2 linked regions of the Elephas maximus indicus genome follow. The protein of the gene in region 2 purifies or fractionates together with the protein of the main gene of each other region. This does not show direct contact. Links are inferred from orthologs where the notes say so. Each region holds a gene or a part of one and is shown on either strand. Other genes may lie near its edges.

Region 1 (10,062 bases), on a different chromosome or scaffold from region 2:
GAGAAAATATTTTCAAATCATATATCAGATAAGGGATTTGCATCTAGACTATATAAAGAACTCTTACAGCTAACAATTAAAAGACAAATAACCCAATTTAAAAATGTGTCCGAATAGACGTTTTTCCAAGGAAGTTATACAAATGGCCAAGAAGCACATGAAAAGAAGTTCAACATCATTAGTCATCAGGGAAATAAATGCAAATCTAAATCATAATGAAATATCACTTCATACTCACTGAAAACAAAACAAAACGAAAACCAAATCCGTAGCCTTCCAGTGGATTCTGACTCATGGCAACGCCACGCGTAACGGAACATAATCACTCTGTGTGGTTTTCTTGGCTGTAATCTTTACGGAAGCTGATCAGCAAGACTTTCTTCTGCACGGCCAATGGGTGGGTTTTGAAGCCATCAACTAATAGGTTCTTGTCAAGCAGACTAGCGAATTGAAGTCAGCCAGACACAGGGTTGGAAGAACAGAAAGGTTTATTCACAGTTTGCAAACTGGGAGACAGGCAGGGTCTCATGACCTAAGGATGCCAGCACTCTGGACCAGGGCAGATTTGCTCCTTTATAGGGAGTGACTTACATATGCATGAACAGTGAGGGGACGATCTTCAGTCCTTTGAGGTGTGCAGCCCCCATAATTTTAGGGAATGGGTTTTTGCCCACTGCTCTAAAAATACTGGGCAGAGCCCTGAAAAAATGGCATCGGCTTGCTCCTGCCACCCCCGGGAAGGTCATGTAGTGGGTAGATTCGGAGTCTGTGCTCCTGTGCTTTGGCCTCCTGCCAGGAGAAGACAAGAAACCTGTGGATTTGACCGATCATGGCGAAGTGCTGTAAAAGTTGTAACAAAAACATAGCAAGATTAGACTTTTCTGAAAAACTATGATGGGATGCTTAATAACCTTTTCATGACTGCCTGCTTTAGTTTGAAGGGTCAACCTTTAGATTAATGTTGTTGTTGCTAGGTGCCATTGAGTGGGTTCCAACTCATAGTGACCCTACATACAATAGAAGGAAACACTACGCAGTCCTGAGCCATTCTCACAATCAGGGCTATGCTTAAGCCCACTGTTGCAACCACTGTATCAATCCATCTCATTGAGGGTCTTCCTCTTCTTTGCTAACCCTGTGCTTTACTAAGCATGATGTCCTTCTCCAGGGATTGATCCCTCCTGATAACAGGTCCAAAGTGTGGGCGTCCTTGCTTCTAAGGAGCATTCTGGTCCTGCTTCTTGCAAGACAGATTTATTTAGCTTAATAGTTGAGTGCAAACCATTTGTGCCACTCAGCAACATTTAAATTCATACAATGGAATAGTATTCAGCTATAAAAACAGCTGAAATCCTGATTCATGCTACAACACGGATGAACCCTGAAAACATGGTAAGTGAAAAAAAAAAAAAAAAACTAGTCACAGAGGACCACGTACTGTGACTCCATTCATATGAAATGTCCAGAAGAGACAAATTTATAGAGACAGAAATTAGATTCATGGCTGCCAGGGACTGGAGGGAGGACAGGCTGAGAGTTTTCTTTTTGGGGTGGCGAAAATATTCTAAAATTGATTGTGATGATGGTTGTACAATTTAGTGAACATACTAAAGCTCACTGATGTGTACAATTTAATAGGGTGGACTTTATGGGATGTTAATTACATTTCAATAAAGCTGTCGTATTTGAAAAAAATTTGGAAAAAAATCTGAAATTAACATGTTGCCAATAAGGCTCAAGTTCTGGATCCCCTCTTGTTTTACCTTCCTTGCTCTGCTCTCCCCCATATCATGAAACTACGCTGAAGAGTTTGCCATGCATCCTTCTAGATCTTTCTCTTGCTTTTACATTTTTATTTGCATTGATTGAACATTCACAGAATTGCATTTATATGTCAATGTGAGTTTGTTTTTAACATAAATAGTATTACACTGTACCAGGGTTCATTCAACAGTGTTTCTTGGAGAGCTGTTATTGAATTGATACAATATAAAGGCTACTCTATTATAACAGCTGCATAATATTCTGTAATATAAATATACCACAAGTAACCTTTAGTGGTCAGCCCGCCCCCTATAATTCTCACTCCCTGTGCCTTTGTTTTTTTCTTTTTTGTGGCATCCTTACCTCAGTGAGTTGCAAATGTTTTTAAAATGAAACATCGTCTTTTATTTTCTTGGTATCTACAGGGTAACAGAGTGCTGTGCACACAGGAAAGCTTAAAGCTTACTAAATGCTCTTAATAGCCTGATTGTTGTTAGGTGCCGTGGAGTCAGTTCCGACTCATAGCGACCCTATTAGCCTGATTAGGAAGAGGCAATAAGGCTCTTGCATCCTTTGCCTTTGAAATTTCCCTGCCTGGTGCTCATAACACATTTTGAATATGCCTTAAAATGGTGGGCCTTCAGCCTAAGGCAGTGTGTCATCTGGATGCTCTGAGCAGGAAAATAATGAAAAATCATATTCAGTTGATGTCACAAGCCATTCACCATTCAGACAGTGATGGTTTTCAGAGTGGTTTGAAATGAGGCTGGTTACTTCTGCTTCAAAACATTCTGGGAATAGCCTGCTTCCTGAATTCTGGGAGTAGCTTAGGAGTAGTTGTGAGAGGTAAGTTAATATTAAAGGTAGATTTTTCTCCCAACATTTTATTATAAAGATTTTCAAACGTACAGATTAGTTGGAAGAATTATCCAGTGAACACCCACCACCTAGATTCTACCATTAACATTTTGCCCTACTTGCTTTATCACACATCTGTTCATCCACTCCTGTGCCCATTGATGGATGCATCAATTCATCTTATTTTCTGATGCATTTCAAAATAAGTTGTAGATGTCGGTACACTGCACCCCTAAACTTTCAGCATGCATATCATTAACTGGAGTTCAGTATTTGTTTATGATTCAGAAAATTTTTTTGAAATTCACTTTACATCAAATTAAGTGCACAGATCTCAAGTAGACCATTCCAGGAGTTTGACAGTGTCTACAATGTAACCCAAACCAACCAAAAAAAATCACACCTATTGCCATTGGTTCCAACTTATAGTGACCCTAGAAGACAGAGTAGAGCTGCCCCACAGGGTTTCCAAGGGGCGACTGACGGATTCAAACTGCCCACCTTTTGGTTAGCAAGCCAAGCTCTTAAACCGCTGTACCACCAGGGCTCTAACCCAAATCACTACGTGATATTGCTCGAGGATTTTTAAGAGATTTGCTAACATTCTGATGCTCGAAAAGTCTGATTAGAGGATCACGACTTTTAAGACTCCCATCCTGCTTTGGCAAGAATGACCAAAAAAAAAAAGAAAAGAAAAGAAAAAAAAATTGCAAAACACTTCAGCAGAGCCAAGTGAAGCACCTTAAGCCAAGAAAGGAAGCACTGAACTAACTGTCCTGATGGAAACTGATGAGTCTTTCAGACCTTCAGAGTGGACTCAAATTAGGAGTGGAAATTTCCTTTTGCCCTTTCTAACATCACTGTTTCAACGTACAAAGTTATTTTTTTTTTCAATTTTTACATACCCCTCTGCATGAAAAGCCAAAAGAACAAAGAAAATCTGGGAAAAAGGATAGAAAAAAATTCAAGGGGGGACAGAGGGAGGGGGAGGAAGGAGGGGAAGGAATATGTTTGTTTCCCGGGGACAAACACGGTGGCTTAAGGCGTGTCTGGCCTCCTGTGGGGGTGGGTGGGAGCTAGAAGGCATCCGAAGAATCCGATAAGCATATTATGACCCATTTTACATATGATAACACTCGCCCTGCAAAATTAGGGCACTTCTGAAGGATACTGAGAAACAGCAGTGGGCCTTTAAAAAGTCTTCGAAAGGCCGACCTGGCACGAATTTCAAATGCAAAACTGAAATGTGGAGTGAACATTCCAAAACACCACCCTCCAGGCCAGCAACAGCATGAGTTGAAAACTCACAGTTCAGCTAAAAAAAAAAAGTTTGAGGCCAAAATCTACACTTCTCCTTTGGACGCTGCTTAAACAATTTTTTTTTTCCGGTTCATATGCATGCTGGTGGCATCAAAGTTAAAAACTAAGGAAAATTATAAAAAAGAAAATGGCAATGATGATGAACCCTAACATTTTTCCAACTTTTCCGGCTTAGCACAGTTTTATTTTGACAGTGCTTTTAGGCAATCGTTCTTCTAACTATCAGCACTTTCAAAAAAAAAAAAAAAAAAACCTACCGAACGTATTGATTAACAGTCTATAACAGTCTATTCCCTCTTGTGGCAGATTTGGTCCAGAAGTTGCTATAGGAAGAAAGCGTTTTAATTAAAAAAAAAAAAAAGTTTGACAGAAATGTATTTTAAAAGAAAACACCAAGTCTTTTATTTTGGTGAATTAGCAACAAAGAAAGGATTAGCATGGACGGGTACTTTTCAAAAATATTTTTTTTCCTCGGGCTCCCGCTAGGGTGGAGGAAGTTGTCTCGCTCCGAGGGAGGGTGGGACGGAGTGGCAGGACAAACGACTGGAGTCCCCCGCCCCTGCCCCAGGCTCGGGAGCGCGAGGGTCGGCGGAGGGGCCGCCGGGCAAGGCGGGGGGAGGCGGCCAGCAGGTGCCTGGGCTCCAGCCCCCTACCCCCACCCTCCACTCCACCCTCACCCCCCAGCCCGAGCTTGGCCTCGCCCCCTGCCGGGTGAGCGCTAGGTGCCGAGGCCTGGGGGCAGGGGGCGCAGACCCCGCGGGGAGCGGAAAGAGGCCCAGGGCGCCCCGACCCCAGCACCCCCGTCGGTGGCCGCGAGGACATGTCCGCGGCCCCCGAGCGGAGCCCAGCCCCGGGGAGCGAAGCCGGGCCAGGGCGTGTGTAGCGGCGGCGGCAGTGGCGGCGGCGGCAGCCGGGCCGCGAGTCCCCTCCCTCCTGGGGCGCAGCTGCCGCCGCCGCCACCATCAGCGCGCGGGCCGCGGCCGGAGCGAGCGGGGCGCGCGGCGCGCGGGGGAGGGCGGGGGCGGGGAGGGGGGTGGGCGAAGGGGCGGGAGGGCGTGGGGGGAGGGTCTCGCGCTCCCGGCGACCAGACCCGAGAGGGAGACCCTGGCGGCGGCGGCGGCGCCTGACACTCGGCGCCTCTTGCCGTGCTCCGGGCCGGCATGTCCGAAGCTGGCGGGGCCGGGCCGGGCGGCGGCGGGGCAGGAGCCGGGGCGGGGGCCGGGCCCGGGGCGCTACCCCCGCAGCCCCCCGCGCCGCCGCCCGCGCCCCCGCAGGGCTCCCCGTGCGCCGCCGCCGGGGGCTCGGGCGCCTGCGGACCGGCGACGGCAGTGGCGGCGGCGGGCACGGCCGAAGGACCGGGAGGCGGCGGCTCGGCCCGGATCGCCGTGAAGAAGGCGCAGCTGCGCTCCGCTCCGCGGGCCAAGAAACTGGAGAAACTCGGAGTGTACTCCGCTTGCAAGGTACCGGCTCGCCGCTCCCAGCCCGCGGGTGGGGGCGAGGGGCCCAGCTCCGGGGGACCCCTGCCCCCTCTCCCTCCGCCCCCGCCCCGCCCCGCCTCCCGCCTCCCGCCTCCCGCCTGGGGCCTCTGCACCGCGGAAGTGCTGCTGCCGCCCGCGCCCAGTTAGCTCCTTCTTGGATAAGAGTCCTGTTGGGTTGGGAGAAGGGGGATCCCCAAGATCGAAAGCCCTTTCTTCATTTCTCCCTCTCGGACCGAGTAACCTTAGCTTCCGAGCTCCCGGGCTGCCCTGGGGCTTTGTCGCTGTGTAGGAGCTCGCCAGAGGCGCCTACCGGAGAGTGCAATGGTGCTCACGGTGTGGCGGGGCGCCCCAGGGCCAGGGAAGCATCTTGGGGACTGAGCAACCCCCTGTGAGCCTGGCCTTGCCCCTTGCCCCATTGGGAGGGGATGGGTGCAAGGAGTGAGGGTGGAAAAGGCTCCCGAACTCCAGGCACCTGGGGAGCGAAGGGACGGAACGCGCGGGATGGGAAGGTGGGCACAGCCCAAGGAGAGGGTCCTGGAGCGCCTGGGGGGGGGGAGGCTCTGCGGCACGCGGTGACAGCACTGTCATTATTGTATTATTACTTGTTTAGTTAAAATGCTGTCCCAGCTGCTCGGGGTGTAAACAGGATTTGGCGAGGTGACAGCCCAGCGCAGCGGGCGCTGCTGCTCAGTTTGAGGACACACGTTTCAAGCCATCCCCTTCTCCGTCCCAGCTTTCGGCGCCCCATGGCCCCCCAGCTGTAGACCCAGATGTAGGGGCTGCACTCCTGGGGAGGGACGATTGCCCGAGGCCGCGGGGCAAGCTGGCCCTGCGCTGTCAGCAGCGGCTTTGTTTTGACAGGGTGACAGCTGAGGGGGGCGGGGACTTGGCCTTGTCAGCTCCTGCGGCCTGTGGCTGAGGCGGGGAAGACACACTCACAGGCACTCACCACCTCCCGTGTATTCCTCCCGCCTGCTGCAAACAGGGTCAAGTTTCCAGGGTTCCAGATTGCCACTACCGCGCTACAATGGTCACTTCTGAATTTTGGTGTAACGGTTATTCATCCAGCTAGAATATCTTGACCCTCCTGGTGATGCTTTTTTAGTATTTACACGAAATGTCTGTGTTTGCTCTCATCCCAGCCATTACCATCCTCATATATATATTGAGCACCTACTGTGTACCCTACACTGATTCAATAAATATTTGCTGAGTGAATGTAGGAACCAGTACAGTGCTTCCCAGACTTTAATGTGCATGGTAATCACCAGTATTAAAATGCTGATTCTGAATTACTAGGTCTGAGGTGGGGCCTGAGACTCTGCATTTGTAACAAATTTCCAGGCGATGCAATGCTGGTTCAATTCCAAGGTAGCAAGATCTAGTTCAGACCTGGATAATATGGTATTAGTCCCTTTTGAATTCAGCCAAGAAAACTGGAACTGTAGAGTGATAATGTCATGTGGTTGGTATTTCTGAAGAAGGAATGCAAAAAAAGATAAAAAAAAAAAAAAAACGAAAGGCAAAGCTAGGAGTTTGGTTATGAAGGGCATTAGACAGGATAGTGAGAACAGGACCTTGAGTGTAGTTGGCAGATGAGAGAGCTATACGCAAAATCAAGAACAAGTTCAATTATGCAGTGGGGTTGGAGTTTTGCAGGTGGGGTTGGTTCAGGTAGTTCAGGTAGCGACTGCGTCAGCTGGGTGTTTCTGTCCTGGTGTTTTATTGGGTTCCCATCGTAAACACGTTTTCTCTCTGCTCCCTGGCTGTTGCCTTAATATCTGATGACTTCCTAAAGTTTTGGTTCTGTGTAAAACCAGGAACCTATGTGCCCTGCACTGGTATTTTTGATCCTTCCAAATTTCCATGAGTGAGATGTAGTACCTTTTCTAAAGTTTGTGACTTGAGCTTCATGTTTCCATTTACTACCAAACTTACAGGAAGGAAAAAACCTCTCATATCTCCTTTAGAGACTTACCTTCCTGCTCTTGGGAGACTCTGCAAGCATCAAATTTTATTTACTTATTCATTCAGTAAATAATATAGAGGGGTCCCATATGGGTGCCAAGTACTGTGCTGGGGCTGAGACACCCAGAATCTATCATGGTGTTGCTGGACAGCGTGCAGATGAGTGTGCATCTCTTGTCTTCAGGACTTGGGGAGTTGGAGAGTGAAGCAGTTACAATAAAGTTTGGAAAAACTACTTTCTCAGAGTGGTGTGGGAACCAGAGCAGGGCAGTTCACTGGGTACCAGGGGAAGGGTGGGGATGGCTTCCTGGAGGAAGTGTCAGTGGGTGCTATAAGAACTCTTGCTATAGCGCAGAGAGGTGGGGTGAAACTTCTTGAGAAGGAGAAACTGAAAGCTGTGCTGAAAGCTTGGAGCCAGGCCAGCAGGAGCCAGGCCTCCACTGGCCAGGTGATCAGGTTGGGGGGTGTGGCCAGGAGGGCACTGGGGCATCTGGGAATCTTAACCTGGAGAGTGACATTATCAGATTTTCTTTTTGTTTTAAAGGGGCTTGGTTGAGTGTGAGGTGGTGCCAGAGAGCAGAATCCATGTTTTTTTCTGTTTGTCTCTATATTTCATGTAAAAAGCCCCGAAGGACAGATGGTTCTATCTTTTGCTACTGGCCCCTTCAGCCAGTTGGAGAGAGTAGCGATGTTAGGGAATAAGGAGGAATCTGGAAAGAGATGAGGTAGTTTACTGGGAGCTATTAAAAATGCATGCGCAAAAAAGGAAAGAAAACAAAAGTAAAAAAACCAGGTCCTAGACCTGAGAAAAGAGAAGGGGAGTTGGCCTTTAAACTTCATGAATGAAACAGAAAAAGAAGGGGCTAGTTAACAGTCAGGGTAGTGTGCCACACCCCGGGAAGAAGAAAATAAGAAAAAAAAACAAACTTGTTTTGCAGGATTCAGGCTAGAGTTCTTTGAACTGTGTCCTGGCGAAGGTTGCCTCATAGAGCCACCTTGCTGACATCTGCCGAATGATCATTAAAAATGTAGATCTGACCGTATTAAGTCTCCACTTAACCAAAACCCAAACCAGTTGCCATGGAGTTAATTCCGACTCATGGCAACACCATGCAATGCAAAATAGAGCTGTGCTCCGGAAGGTTTTCAAGGCTGTGACCTTTTGGAAGCAAATTGCCAGTCCTTTCTTCCAAGGCACCTCTGGATGGGTTGGAACCTCCAACTTTTCAGTTAGAAGTCTCTACTTAAAACCAAACCTATTGCTGTCAAGTTGATTCCAACTCATAGCAACTTTTTAATTTCTCTTTACTGGGACCCACAGTGTCTCACATGGCTTGGCCACAGCTTCCTCTGGCTCTCTTTTAGGGCCTTGAGTACATGGTTCTCTTCTACCTCGGGGCCTTTGCACATGCTGCCAACTGGAACTGAAAGTTCTTCCTCTTACCACTCGCTTCTGAATTAGCTCACAGTTCCTCTTGCAAACCTCAGAGTCCTTGTCTTTCCTTTACTCCCCAGGCCAGCCTTCCCCATTATAAGTTCTCGAAACTCCTCTGTACTTTTCCTTTCTGGTGCTTTTTTCACGTTATTTGATATGTATTTGACTAAGAGTCTAAGTGATGTGGTTGTTGACTGAATGAATGAACTAGAGAAGAGAAAGCTGAGGAAGTAATTAGCTGTTAGGATAGCAGTTGTGAAGTTTTAACTTGGCCACTTTTTGACAACTGGGCAGAGGAGGTTTTTCATGTAGGGCATTTCCGGGTGACTCACAGTTGTTGATGGGACTAGGTATTTAATGCTGTAAAAGAAACCCCAAGTGAGTGTACGAGTAGCCCAAATCCACCCAGTCTTCCATGAATTAAAGTGTAATTTATCTAACTTAAAAAATAAAACCCAAACCACTGACTGACCCTTCCTAATGAAATAAACCATTTGTACATAAGGGGAGTCAATAGGATGTAATGGCCGAGAAGATGGACATTGGAGTTAAGACTAACCCAAGTTCAGATTTCAGAATATCCAGCTCTGACAAGGACTTCGCCTCTGAGCCTCCATTTTCTTTTCTGTAAAATGGGACTGATAATACGTACCTCGTGGTGTAATGGAGTCCCTCGGTGGCACAAATAGTGCGGTGTTTGACCGCTAACCAAAAGGTTGGGAGTTCAAACCCACCCAGATGCACTTTGGAAGAAAAGACTGGTGATGTGCTTTTGAAAGTTCACAGCCTTGAACACCTTATGGAGTGCAGTTTTACTCTATATACCTAGGGTTGCCATGAGTTGGAATCGACTCAACGGCAATGGATTTGATTTTAGTTTTCATGGCAGAGCAATGAGGATTTAAAGTGAGCTAACGTGTGTGAGGTACCAGCATGGTGTCTGGCCCATGGTCAGCACCCATGGCTGTTCAGGGAAGGGGGATAAACCATTAACTGGGAAGTCAGGAAAGAACATGGCACTTAGACTCGAATCCCAGATCTGCAACTCGTGAAATCTTGGGTTCGAGTCATTCATTTTCTCTCTGAGCCTTGACTACTTCATGTGTAAAATGTGATCATTAACTTCAACCTCGAAATTGGAAGAGAGAAGTTCCCCACAATTCCTGGAACATAAAGGTGCTGGGTTAATGCTGGCTAAACTGAATCACCTGCTGCTTTACTCATTGTATTTCAGAGTGA
Region 2 (11,103 bases):
CTCCCACCTGGAGACACATCTCTGATTCCACTGAACTGGAAGCTAAGAATGTCACCTGGCCACTTTGGGCTCCTTATGCCTCTGGATCAATAGGCAAAGAAGGGAGTTACCATACTGCTGGTGGGCCTGATCCTGATTACCAAAAGGAATTTGGATTGGTGTTACATAATGGAGGTAAAGAAGAGTATGTCTGGAATGCAGGAGACCCATTAGGGTGTCTCTTAGTATTACCATGTCCTGTGATTAAAGTCAATGGAAAACTACAGCAACCCAATTCTGATACGATTACTAATGGCCCAGACCCTTTAGGAATGAAGGTTTGGGTCACCCCACCAGGCAAAGAACCACAACCAGCTGAGGTGCTTATTGAGGGCAAAGGGAATATGCAACGGGTGGTGGAAGGAGGTAGTTCTAAATACCAGTTATGTCCATGTGTCCAATTGCAGAAACGAGGACTGTAATTGTTAAGAGTATTTCTGCTTTGCATGTGTGTATCCAATATTTTTGTTTTCTTCACATATAAAATATAAGATGTAAGTGGGGCTAGTGCATTTTCGGTTGTATGCATGTTAGTTCTATCATGTTAGGTGCAAGTATGACTTTGTAATTGTTTTTATTCAGAGATTATGTATGGTTTGGGGAGATGTGTACAGGTCTCAAGTTGACAAGGGGTGGACTGTGATGGTTAACATTGTGTGTCAACTTGGCTGGGCCATAATTCTCGGGTTTATATGTGATCACTCCCATGATGGGATCTGCTGTCAGTAGCCAATCAGTTGAAAGGGAGTTTCCTTGGACGTGTGGCCTGCATCTGAGGATAAGTGGATGTTCTGGCTTTTCCCTGCTCTAGATCCTGCAGCTGGCTCCTGTTCATCCGACAGCCTCTTCTTGGGATTGAGCTAGCAGTTTACCTGCCAAACTTGGGAGTCATTGATCTTCACAGCCTGTGAGCAAGAGCCCTGCTCTCCAACCTGCTGATCTTGGGTTTATCAGCCCCTGCAGCTATGTGAATTGGGAGAATCCTTGCAGTCTCACCTGCCAATCTTGGGATTCATCAGTCTTCACAGTCTGTGAGCAAGAGCTCTGCTCTCCAACCTACCAATCTTGGGTTCACCAGCCCCTGCGGCTACGTGAATCAGGAGAAATTTCTATCCTGATCCACTGACTTGGAACGTTCCAGATTCTACAACCACATGAGCTGCTTCCTTGACATAAATCTCTTTCTGTTGTTGTTGTTGTTGTTGTTAGGTGCCGTTGGGTCAGTTCCGACTTATAGTGACCCTATGCACAACAGAACGAAACACTGCCCGGTCCTGCACCATCCTTACAATCGTTGTTATGCTTCAGCTCATCGTTGCAGCCACTGTGTCAGCCCACCTCCTTGAGGGTCTTCCTCTTTTCCACTGACCCTGTACTTTGCCAAGCATGATGTCCTTCTCCAGAGACTGATCCCTCCTGACAACATATCCAAGGTATGTAAGACGCAGTCTCGCCAACCTTGCTTCTAAGGAGCATTCTGGTTGTACTTCTTCTAAGACAGATTTGTTCATTCTTTTGGCAGTCAATGGTATATTCAATATTCTTCGCCAATACCACAATTCAAAGGCGTCAATTCTTCTTCGGTCTTCCTTATTCATTGTCCAGCTTTCACATGTATATGATGTTTTTGAAAATACCATGGCTTGGGGCAGGTGCACCTTAGTCTTCAAGGTGACATCTTTGCTCTTCAATGCTTTAAAGAGGTCCTTTGCAGCAGATTTACCCAATGCGATCTCTTTCTATATATATATATATGTATATATATATATATATAATATATATATATATTTATACCTTTACTGGTTTTGCTTCTCTAGAGAACCCAGCCTAAGGCAAATAGCCATTTTATAAATTCACTTATGAAACGCCACACATTTAAAGGGTGCCTCCATTTTATAGATTAAAAGACCGAGACTTAAAAAAAAATTAAGTAACCTATTCTTGCTCACGAAACAAGACTAAAATTGAAGAGCCATGATATGATTTAATCCCATGCAGATGGAGTCCATTGGTAGTGGAAACATTTAATTTGCTCAGCTGCTAGCTGAATAGCTGGAGGTTTGAGTCCACACAGAAGCGCCTCAAAAGAAAGGTCTGGAGATCTATTTCTTAAAAATCAGCCACTGAAAATCCTATGGAGCACAGTTTTACTCTGACACACATGTGGTTAACATAATTTGGAATCAACTCAATTGGCAACGGGTATGGAAGGCCCAGCACCGAACTCAATCTCCACATTGGCAGCGCTGGGGCAGCATAACATAGCTATGAAGAAGAGTTCCTTTGGAGCCAGACACCTTGGGTTTAAACCCTGGTTCTTTCACTTTAGTTACCTAGGCTCTTTGTGCTTGAGTTTTATCATCTGTAAAATAGGAACCATTTATTCACAAATATTTCTTGGTCCCCAGTCATTCTACCTCAGAGTCGTCCTCCAATCTGCTGCATTGCCTTTGTTTAATTTGACATGTTTGATGCTGCTCATCACCAAGGGCTTAGACCTCTCAAAAATGAAGGCTTAAATCACCCTACTAGGCAAGGAACCACAGCCAGCCAGATTGTAACCAAGGAAACCCGGCATAGGTAGTCATGTATACCAGCTATAGCCTCAGGAACCAGAATAGGAAAAAGTGGTCTGCACATTTTGCTGGAATGCCTGAAGACTGAAAAATTAGCCTTACCTTTCCCTTTTAAGGAACCCTGGTGGCATGGTGGTTAAGAGCTCAGCTGCTAACCAAGTTGTCAGCAGTTTGAATCCACTAGCCACATCTTGGAAACCCTGTGGGGCAGTTCTATTCTGTCCCATACGGTTGCTATGAGTCAGAATTAACTCGATGGCAACGAGGTTTTGTTTGTTTCCCTTTTAAAATGAGAACAATCACTGCTGTCCCCACTCCCAGTGAAATTATTTGTAGAGTGTGATGATAGTAATCATAATTTAGTCCATGGATTGAGGACCAGGAGGAGCCACACCTAAATGAGACTATGCCAGAACTAGAAGAGGAATGGATACTTGATATCCAGAGGTCAGGACTAGGAGAAAAGTAACATTAAGACATTCTTTCCACCAGTTGGATGCATCTTTAGGCTGGGTAAGGGTGCAGATGCAGAACTGTTGTACTGGGATGGCAGGGTCATGTTGGTTGGAGGCATTTTTATCATTGTACATAGGGGGAAAAGGGTATGTGGCTTCAGCAACCTAAGAATAGAACACAAGAAACACCTCTTAGGCCAGCTGCACAGTTCACAGTGACAACTCCCTTCCCATCAAAGGGATGGAACAACAGCAAACATCCACACACATAGTTTGCAGCCTGGTCATGCTGAATAACACAGGAGTGGAAATATGATCCAGGTTGGCCAAACACTTACTGCACTAGGAAACTGGAATTTTGATCAAAGAGGCAGAGAGATGGAAAGTTGTTTACATCCCATCAGGAAGACAGTTTATGGATTCCTACTACCGAGTTCTACAGAATTTCCCTGGTTGTTCAGTAATTTCTAAGTTTCTGTGAGATACCCCAGTATCCAGTAAAGTCAATTTAACTAGCAACCAAAATAATCTTAACTATTATACTTACCAGAATAGCTTTCTCTCATGCTACTTCTTCGTATGCTCCTTACCCTACATCCTCTACCAAAATATTGCGGCTCACCAAGAATACCACGATGTTCTGTCTCACTGAGCTTTTGCTGCTCTGCTGTATGAAATTCCCTCCTCCTTCTACTGACACCTCGAAATCTGTTTTTGCATCTGTCAGAACACCTAGTATGTAGGGCTGTATCAGAATTAAATGAAACAATGCCTATGAAAACTTCCCGTACAGTGTATCATTCATAACAGGCACTGATTTGTTTTGTTAGCTTTTTTTTTTAGCTGATTTACTTTTCCAGCATCATATCCCACTACACTAATTCATAAACCCCCCAAAAAGAGCCACTCTAGGCTACTTGATTTTCCCAAGCCATACAATGCACTTTGTGTTTCTTCTTTATTAAAATTCTACTTAGTCTTCATGACTCAGAGAAATGTTGGGCCCTCCATAAAGCCCTGTGTATATCACAATTGGTGTGTCAATCACTCCTTCCTCTGTACACACCATCTTCTGTCTTTATCACAGCATTTTATTTCCATCTGGTTTATATTCTGCCTCTCCCACCAGATTGTGGGCTCCTTGAAAACAAGAAGAGTGGTTTATTCAGATTTATTTCTCCCACATCATACTTAGGACAGTAGACTCTCAGTTGTTGAGTGAATGCAGGAATCAGATGCTGCTTGTCTTCTCTTTCCTCTGCCTACCCGACATCACTTCCTTAAATGCCTCAAACCCAGACATGTGCAAAAGTAAGCACATCTTCTTTAAACTGCTCCCTTTCAGTTTTGCTGTTTTTGTCAGTAACGCTATTCTAATCCCTTCTGCCTTATGTCTTTGGCGTTCTCCTTTCTCTCTCACTCCTGCAAGGAGGGTAGTCTTCTCACTGTTCCCAGAATAATTTGTCTTCACAACTTTGTGTTGTTACTTTGAATACAAATACTTTCTTCCTTTCTCTCCATCTTTCAAAAGCCTGTATTTCAAGCCTCTTTCTTCCCAACTGTTCCAATGGATCCCTGAGAGACTATGAAGGAAGCCCTCTTGATGACCCTTGATGAACCCAGAGCACGAGCAAGAAATAAAGCTTTTGAGGTGTGGGAGTTATTTATTCTTGCAACATAATCTAGCCTATCCTGGCTACTACACTGACCTTGGGTAAGTTATTTAGCCTTTCCAAACTTCAATTTCTTTATCTGTAAAATGGGGATTAAAACAGTATCTAACAAACATGGTTACTGTGAGGATCAAATGAGATAATACAGGTAAAAGCATTTAGCACAGTGCCGAGCATAAAAGAAGTAGAGGATAGATTTTAAGAAATTTGAATTGTTACCAAGTGGCAATTTGTATGTTAGCAACAGAAATGTCAAGCTTCAAATTATGAATGTTATGTATTATTGTTAGTAATTTTAGCTGAAGACCTGGGTATCTATAAATTAACATATTTTAAGATAATTACTATAGCAGTTAAGCCTAAATAATCATAAAAAAATAACTCACAGTACTATTGTTTTCTGTCATATCATGAATTTTTGGATACCATGAAAAAATGTCTGATATATGTACTTTAAGATTCATAAAGCTTATTAAGATGTTATCCTTGTTCCCAAAAGCCTATTTATAATACCAAAAAAACCAAATCCGTTGCCTTCCAGTGGATTCTGACTCATAGCAACCCTATAGGACAGAATAGAACTGCCCCATAGCATTTCCAAAGAGCAGCTGGTGGATTTGAACTGCTTACCTTTTGGTTAACAGCCCAGCTCTTAACCACTGTGCCTCCAGGGCTCCTATTTATAATAGGGCTATATTATACTATAAATAAATATTTAAATATGGAATCCAGGTTAGCATATTCATTACATATCACACTGCTATTTGTATTTAATTAAATTTTCTCTCTGAACTAACAGTAAACTGACTGACAAAACCACTTCATGAAGATGTTACACCTGAGCCAACAGTTCCACATTCCTATTTTGAAGAAAAATTTAAAATATTGTTTTATTAAGTAATTTTTTTGTCTGGACTAAACTTACTAGCACTGAAAATCAAGCGTCCACACTTTAGAAATCAAAGATCCCGGCACATGTCTTGGAGAAAATGTTGAATGAGAAAACACAGTGTAATAAACTGAAAAACACCTCCAGATGCCACACACCTAGGATGTGCTTTTAGACCAAAATAAAACCTTTTTAAAAAAACATTTTAAACAAGTCAGTTGCCTTCCAATGTATCTGATGAACTAAAGTGCCAAAACTGATTTAAATGGTATCTTTATTTTTTAGAAATCTCTACACCCAATAATTTATAATGTAGCCTCTTCTTCCAAACGACAGTATGACACAATTTTTTAAATAATGCAATTTTTGTGAAGAATTTGACACCAGTTTCTATTACGGGTCACCTTGGAGGGGCAAAAATCAGAGTTGTGTTAAGATGCTCTACAGTACTTTTTTTTTTCATCTCCAAAAGCAAACGTGCAATCCGACGTGAAAAATGGCTACGTTAAAATCTCGTAATGTGGCTCATTGTACGCTAGGCGTTTCCACTACGATGGATCTGACTTCTAGTTTCTCGCTTAGCCTCCAGTAGTGACTGGGCAAGTTATTTCTGAGTATCTCCTTTCCCATAAAAAACGAGAAAATGGGTGGAGGACCATAGTGAGCTGTGATCCAAATAACGTCCATTAGAAATCTTCAAAAGCTTTCTTTCCGGACGATGCAGACACCAGGCATACGGGGTTCTGCCTTCCCCACATCCTCAGCCCCGAGTCCAAGCTCGGGTAGTCTCCTCTTTCAAGACCAATTTGGTCTCCTTAAGGAAAAGCAGAGAGTTCTTTTTAAGGAAATCCGGGGCTCCTTTGTCCCCCAAAACGGCTGGGGGAGGGTTTCGAGGCCTCCGCTGGTGGTGGGAGAGTAGAGACGAAGGAACTGAACTCTTCTCTCACATCCACCCGCCCTACCCACCGTCTGCGGTCCCAGCCCTGGAGCAAGCGCGCTCCCAGGGTTCCCCGGTACCGTGAGGCGCGCGCTTGCTCGGCGACGGCCCCAGTGAAGGCGCGGGATGCTGGGCCGCACGCCGGACCCGGGACAGGCGGAAGCTACTGAGAGACCCCGTGCTTCCCGCCGGGGCGGGTGGGGGAAGGGTGGCAGCCACACCCGGAAGTCGGTCTGGTAGGGTGGGGGAAACTGGTTAGAGCCGAGGCTTCCGGTGGCGCAAAGGGTGTCGGGAGCTGCTCCCGGCAAACCTTCTTCTCAGGCTTCTGGAGGGGCCGCGGTTGGAGCCGCTGCGGCTTCTACGATCTGCGTTCGGGATAAACGGCCACGGGGCTGCCACTGCGGCTTTCCCTGTGCTTTACCCTGTTTGTATTCGTTCCCAGGCGGCCCCCGCAATTCCAGCAGCGGCCGAGGCCGACATGTTGTGAGGCGGTGGCACGGGTATCTGAAGGATGGTTTGGCCGAGGCGGCGGCAACGGCTCCTGGCGGGGGTGGCGGCGGCTCAGGCTCTGTAGAGCCGAGCTCGCTGGGTGTACGTCCGGTGCCTCGGGGAGGCCAGTGCCCCTGGATTTTGCCTCTGCTCCGGCGTCGTTGGGGTCCGGTTAGGCGACAGCTCCTGCCCCGCTGAGGAGACACGAAGGTGGTTGCCCAGCACCTCAAATTTCCGGATCACGCCAAGCTTACCCTTCCTCGGCCCGGCAGTGCTGTCCCCAGAACACTCAGCCCTTCGACTTTCCTACCAGCCTCGCCCTAAATCTCACACACTCGGGTGTTCCCCGCCTGGCCGAGCCAGCTCCTCCCCCCTTATTTTCTGCACCCTCTTCTCAGAGCGCCCCTCAGGGTCACTCTCCGAAGGGGGCCTTTTCAGAAATCTCCGTGGAGTAGTGGACCAGAACTGGGGAGTTTTTAAAAGTCGGGTGCGAGAGATAGGAATGTACGATGGCTTCCTCATCTGGCAACGATGATGATCTCACTATACCCAGAGCTGCTATCAATAAGATGATCAAAGAGACTCTTCCCAATGTCCGGGTGGCCAACGATGCCCGGGAGCTGGTGGTGAACTGCTGCACTGAATTCATTCACCTTATATCTTCTGAAGCCAATGAGATTTGCAACAAATCGGAAAAGAAGACCATCTCACCAGAGCATGTCATACAAGGTAAGTGGTACGTGTGGCGTTTGGATTAAAAGAGGGGCCGGGGGACAGTCTGCTAGTCGCGTGACCCGTTTGTGTCAAAACCTTCATTCCTCTTCCTTGGTAAGTACTGTTGAGTGAAGAAGCCACACGGGCAAGGAGGCAGCTTTTTCCTTAGGAAAATCCCGTTGTGTGTTCTTGTGGTACTTGGCATCCGGCCGATGCAACTAAGGATTGCAAGCATTTAGGTCACCTCACAGCCCCAAAAGATCAGTTCTTGGTAATGGTCTCGATTTACAGCCGAAGCAACAAGAATTGCCTGCCCTAAGTTGAACCCAGATAATGACATTTGAGAAAGGAAGCCAGAAGTTCTCCCTTGGAAAGTTAAAATTCAGACAGAGGAACTTCAAGCAGGAGTGGAAACAGCACCCGTTCTCCCGCTCCACCTATTCAGTAATGTAGAGGAAAGGGTCAATATTCTGAACACATGAATAAAAAAATTCTTAACAAGAATGTATTCAGCTTGGGAAAGGTTATTGGTGTTTAGTAAAGGCCACTTCTTTTTATTTTTCGTTTAAAATAGTTTGATGGTTGTTCATCAAGTTTCCAAGAGTTTCAGTTCTATTATGTAAGGAAAGAGTGAATGTTCCTGCTTTGTTGTGTGGAAATAAATTTGAATGCAACTAAAAGCTTGGATTGGAAGATTGTGAGCAGTTTTTTTCATGAAACATTTCCCTGTACTTTCCTGCTGTCATTCCCATTTAGATGTATACATTTCGTCTTTTACTGAATAGCACTTTTGGAAAATTTAAGTTTTTTTCCCCTCTCGTTTTGGAAAGCATTTAGTCCAGTAATAGGGATTTGGGGGACCATATTCTGATGGTTTCAGGGATGAGAGGCGTATTTACTAGTCATCATGCTTTGGGAAACACTTTTTGTGATTTTCACATGTACTGTTACCCAGAAAGTTGCATTCAAATTGAGGTGAAAACTTGCCTTAAAATCTTAACAGTCTCTTGATTGCTTTTGAAGTCAGGAAAAGAAAAGTTTTAAGTGGTTAATTTAATCATTTTGGTAAGCAGATGGTTGTCTGGCATTTCAGTTTTATAATTTAACTTTTTCAAAGGTGACTTCCTGTTCTACTGAAGCAGAGAACACATCTGCTCATATTCACCGTATCCAGTATTTTACTGTCAATATTGACAAAGGAACTAAAAGATTCATTTTTGATCCTTAACTGACCTGCTGAATGTAGATTTAAAGCATACTCTGCTATTTCAATACATAGGGATTCTTAAAGCTAGTATTTTAATTTTTTTTCTGCCTTTTTGGTGTGCTGAATGTTCTAGCAAGTAAAATGAAAGGCAAGGTGTCTATTTTTGTCTGTTTTTAATTTTACATTGTATGTGTGATTGCTATCATGTAGTCTTTCACAAGAGAATCCCACACAGATAGCTATAATTTCCTTTTACAACTCATTGAAGAGAAAAAAGGACCTTTTATCAACATTGCCTTTCTAATGAAAATTGCAGAAGATTTCAGTAGGATATGCTAAAACATTTGTTTACACCAGAGAAGTGGGGATCGTTCCCAAAATCTAATAACACATTACAACTGTCTTCTTGGGGAGAGTTTATTCTATTCTAGGATATATTTAGATTTCTGATTGACATGATGGAATAAAAGTGCAGCTGTAGCAAGCAGTGTGCTAAATAGTTCAACTTTGGAATATGCTAAATTCTGTGTAATGTATGAATCAGAAAGTTACAGTGAAAGCATTTTTCCTTGTGTACTGAGGGTCATTTATTAATTTTAAAGTATCATGTATTGACTGTTACAGTCTATAAATTTACCTTTTTTTTTTTTAAACTTGTATCATTGCTATTGTTGAGTGGATAAAGGCCCACATTTTTGCCCAAGAATTCTCCCTGGTTTGAGGAGTAGCTTTTAAACGTTTATAATTTCATTTGAACCTCATTTTGCCTAACTATTTTAAAGAATTTTTGTTTTGAGTGGTTAAAAATTTTTTAAGGAAATGTTTAGGGTGTGTATAGTTTAGGTGCTTAAGGTATAGTTTTACAGACTAACTTTGGAAAATTAGGTTGGGAAATCATGTAGATGGGACATTTTTTACACTTTTGTGTCAGCGCTGGTTTTTTAGGACTGTAGGATATATATATATAAAGTGCTATCGAGTCGATTCCGACTCATGGCAACCCTATGCAATGCGTAAGTAAAATAATAATGTAATTTTTAAAATGATATGATTCTAACATGTTGAAGCTTGAATTTTTAGTAATAAGTTTAATGAGCTAGACTTTGCATCAGTACATTTCACATGTTCACATGTCACCTTGTTGTACCTTGTCAAAGCAAATTAAGCATTCTGAGGCAATTCCGTAAAATGGAAGATAAAGTCAAAGCATGTTACTGCCAGTTTATCTATGAAATACTATAACTTAGTTCCCCCCCCCCCCAAATAGTTTACTTATTTTGAGTTTTAAGAAAGAAGATTTCAGATCCATGGACAGAGTTCTAAGTTTTAAAAAGTATTCCTTTTATCTCTTTGCTGTTTTCTGTGAACATTTATTTGTGAATGAGTTCTAACATGTCTCTTGCATTATGGGACAAAGTGACATGGAGAATCCTGGAGAATCCAGAGTTGCAAGCTGTACACTGGAAATTCTTTGGCCTTAGGCAAATCTGTTAGCTAAGGTTTTCCACTTCTGTGTAAATAATATTTAATGGTTTCAGGTGCACCTTGAAATTATTGAGAACCAGTTGGGTTAGAACCTTAAGTGAAATGTGCCACGATAAATTACAATTTTAAAAACTTGTAGTGGTACTGATAAGAATATAAAGCTGAAAGCCTGTTACATTACATTTAATCTTTACATCATGGTGCCATTTGTAAAACCAAAGTGAAAATGAGAATATTTTAGGTGGTATTATTTTCTTCCTGCATTTTTTAATCTCTTTCTACTTTTTTTTTTTTCACATTTATGAGAACAGTAACTGAAAGTAGTGAAAGCTTGAAAAGGTCTCTGAGAGTTGGCTTCCTCAGCAGTTAAGTTGCTCCAAGCTATCTATGATGGACTTTTTTTTTTTTTTTTAACCTGTAGTCCTTTGCACACTGATACTTTTGTAAAATACAATAAAAATGGATCTCTAGAAAAATGAAATGAAAAAAAAGACATAAAAGTTAAAATTTTTATTAGATCCAATGGACATAAATTACTCTGCTAAGTTGCTGTGAAAGTTTTTTTTTTTTTTTTTTAATATTTTATTGTGTTTTAGGTGAAAGTTTACAGAGCAAATTAGTTTCCCATTCAACAACTTA

What was found.
Region 1: the proteins of DR1 (region 2) and KAT2B purify together in Homo sapiens (affinity purification with mass spectrometry; 3 studies listed by BioGRID and IntAct, with this or other methods). This does not show direct contact. The link is inferred for Elephas maximus indicus from reciprocal best matches to the Homo sapiens genes DR1 and KAT2B.

What each region holds. Positions count from the first base shown.
Region 1 is NC_064845.1:19,717,275-19,727,336, reverse strand, and holds the start of KAT2B (histone acetyltransferase KAT2B), read left to right. Parts: upstream 1-5,014; 5' UTR 5,015-5,102; coding exon 5,103-5,402; intron 5,403-10,062. Other genes in the region: uncharacterized protein LOC126068496, read right to left, coding at 4,375-4,905. UniProt on the Homo sapiens protein: Functions as a histone acetyltransferase (HAT) to promote transcriptional activation. Has significant histone acetyltransferase activity with core histones (H3 and H4), and also with nucleosome core particles.
Region 2 is NC_064821.1:148,820,977-148,832,079, reverse strand, and holds the start of DR1 (protein Dr1), read left to right. Parts: upstream 1-6,841; 5' UTR 6,842-7,567; coding exon 7,568-7,787; intron 7,788-11,103. UniProt on the Homo sapiens protein: The association of the DR1/DRAP1 heterodimer with TBP results in a functional repression of both activated and basal transcription of class II genes.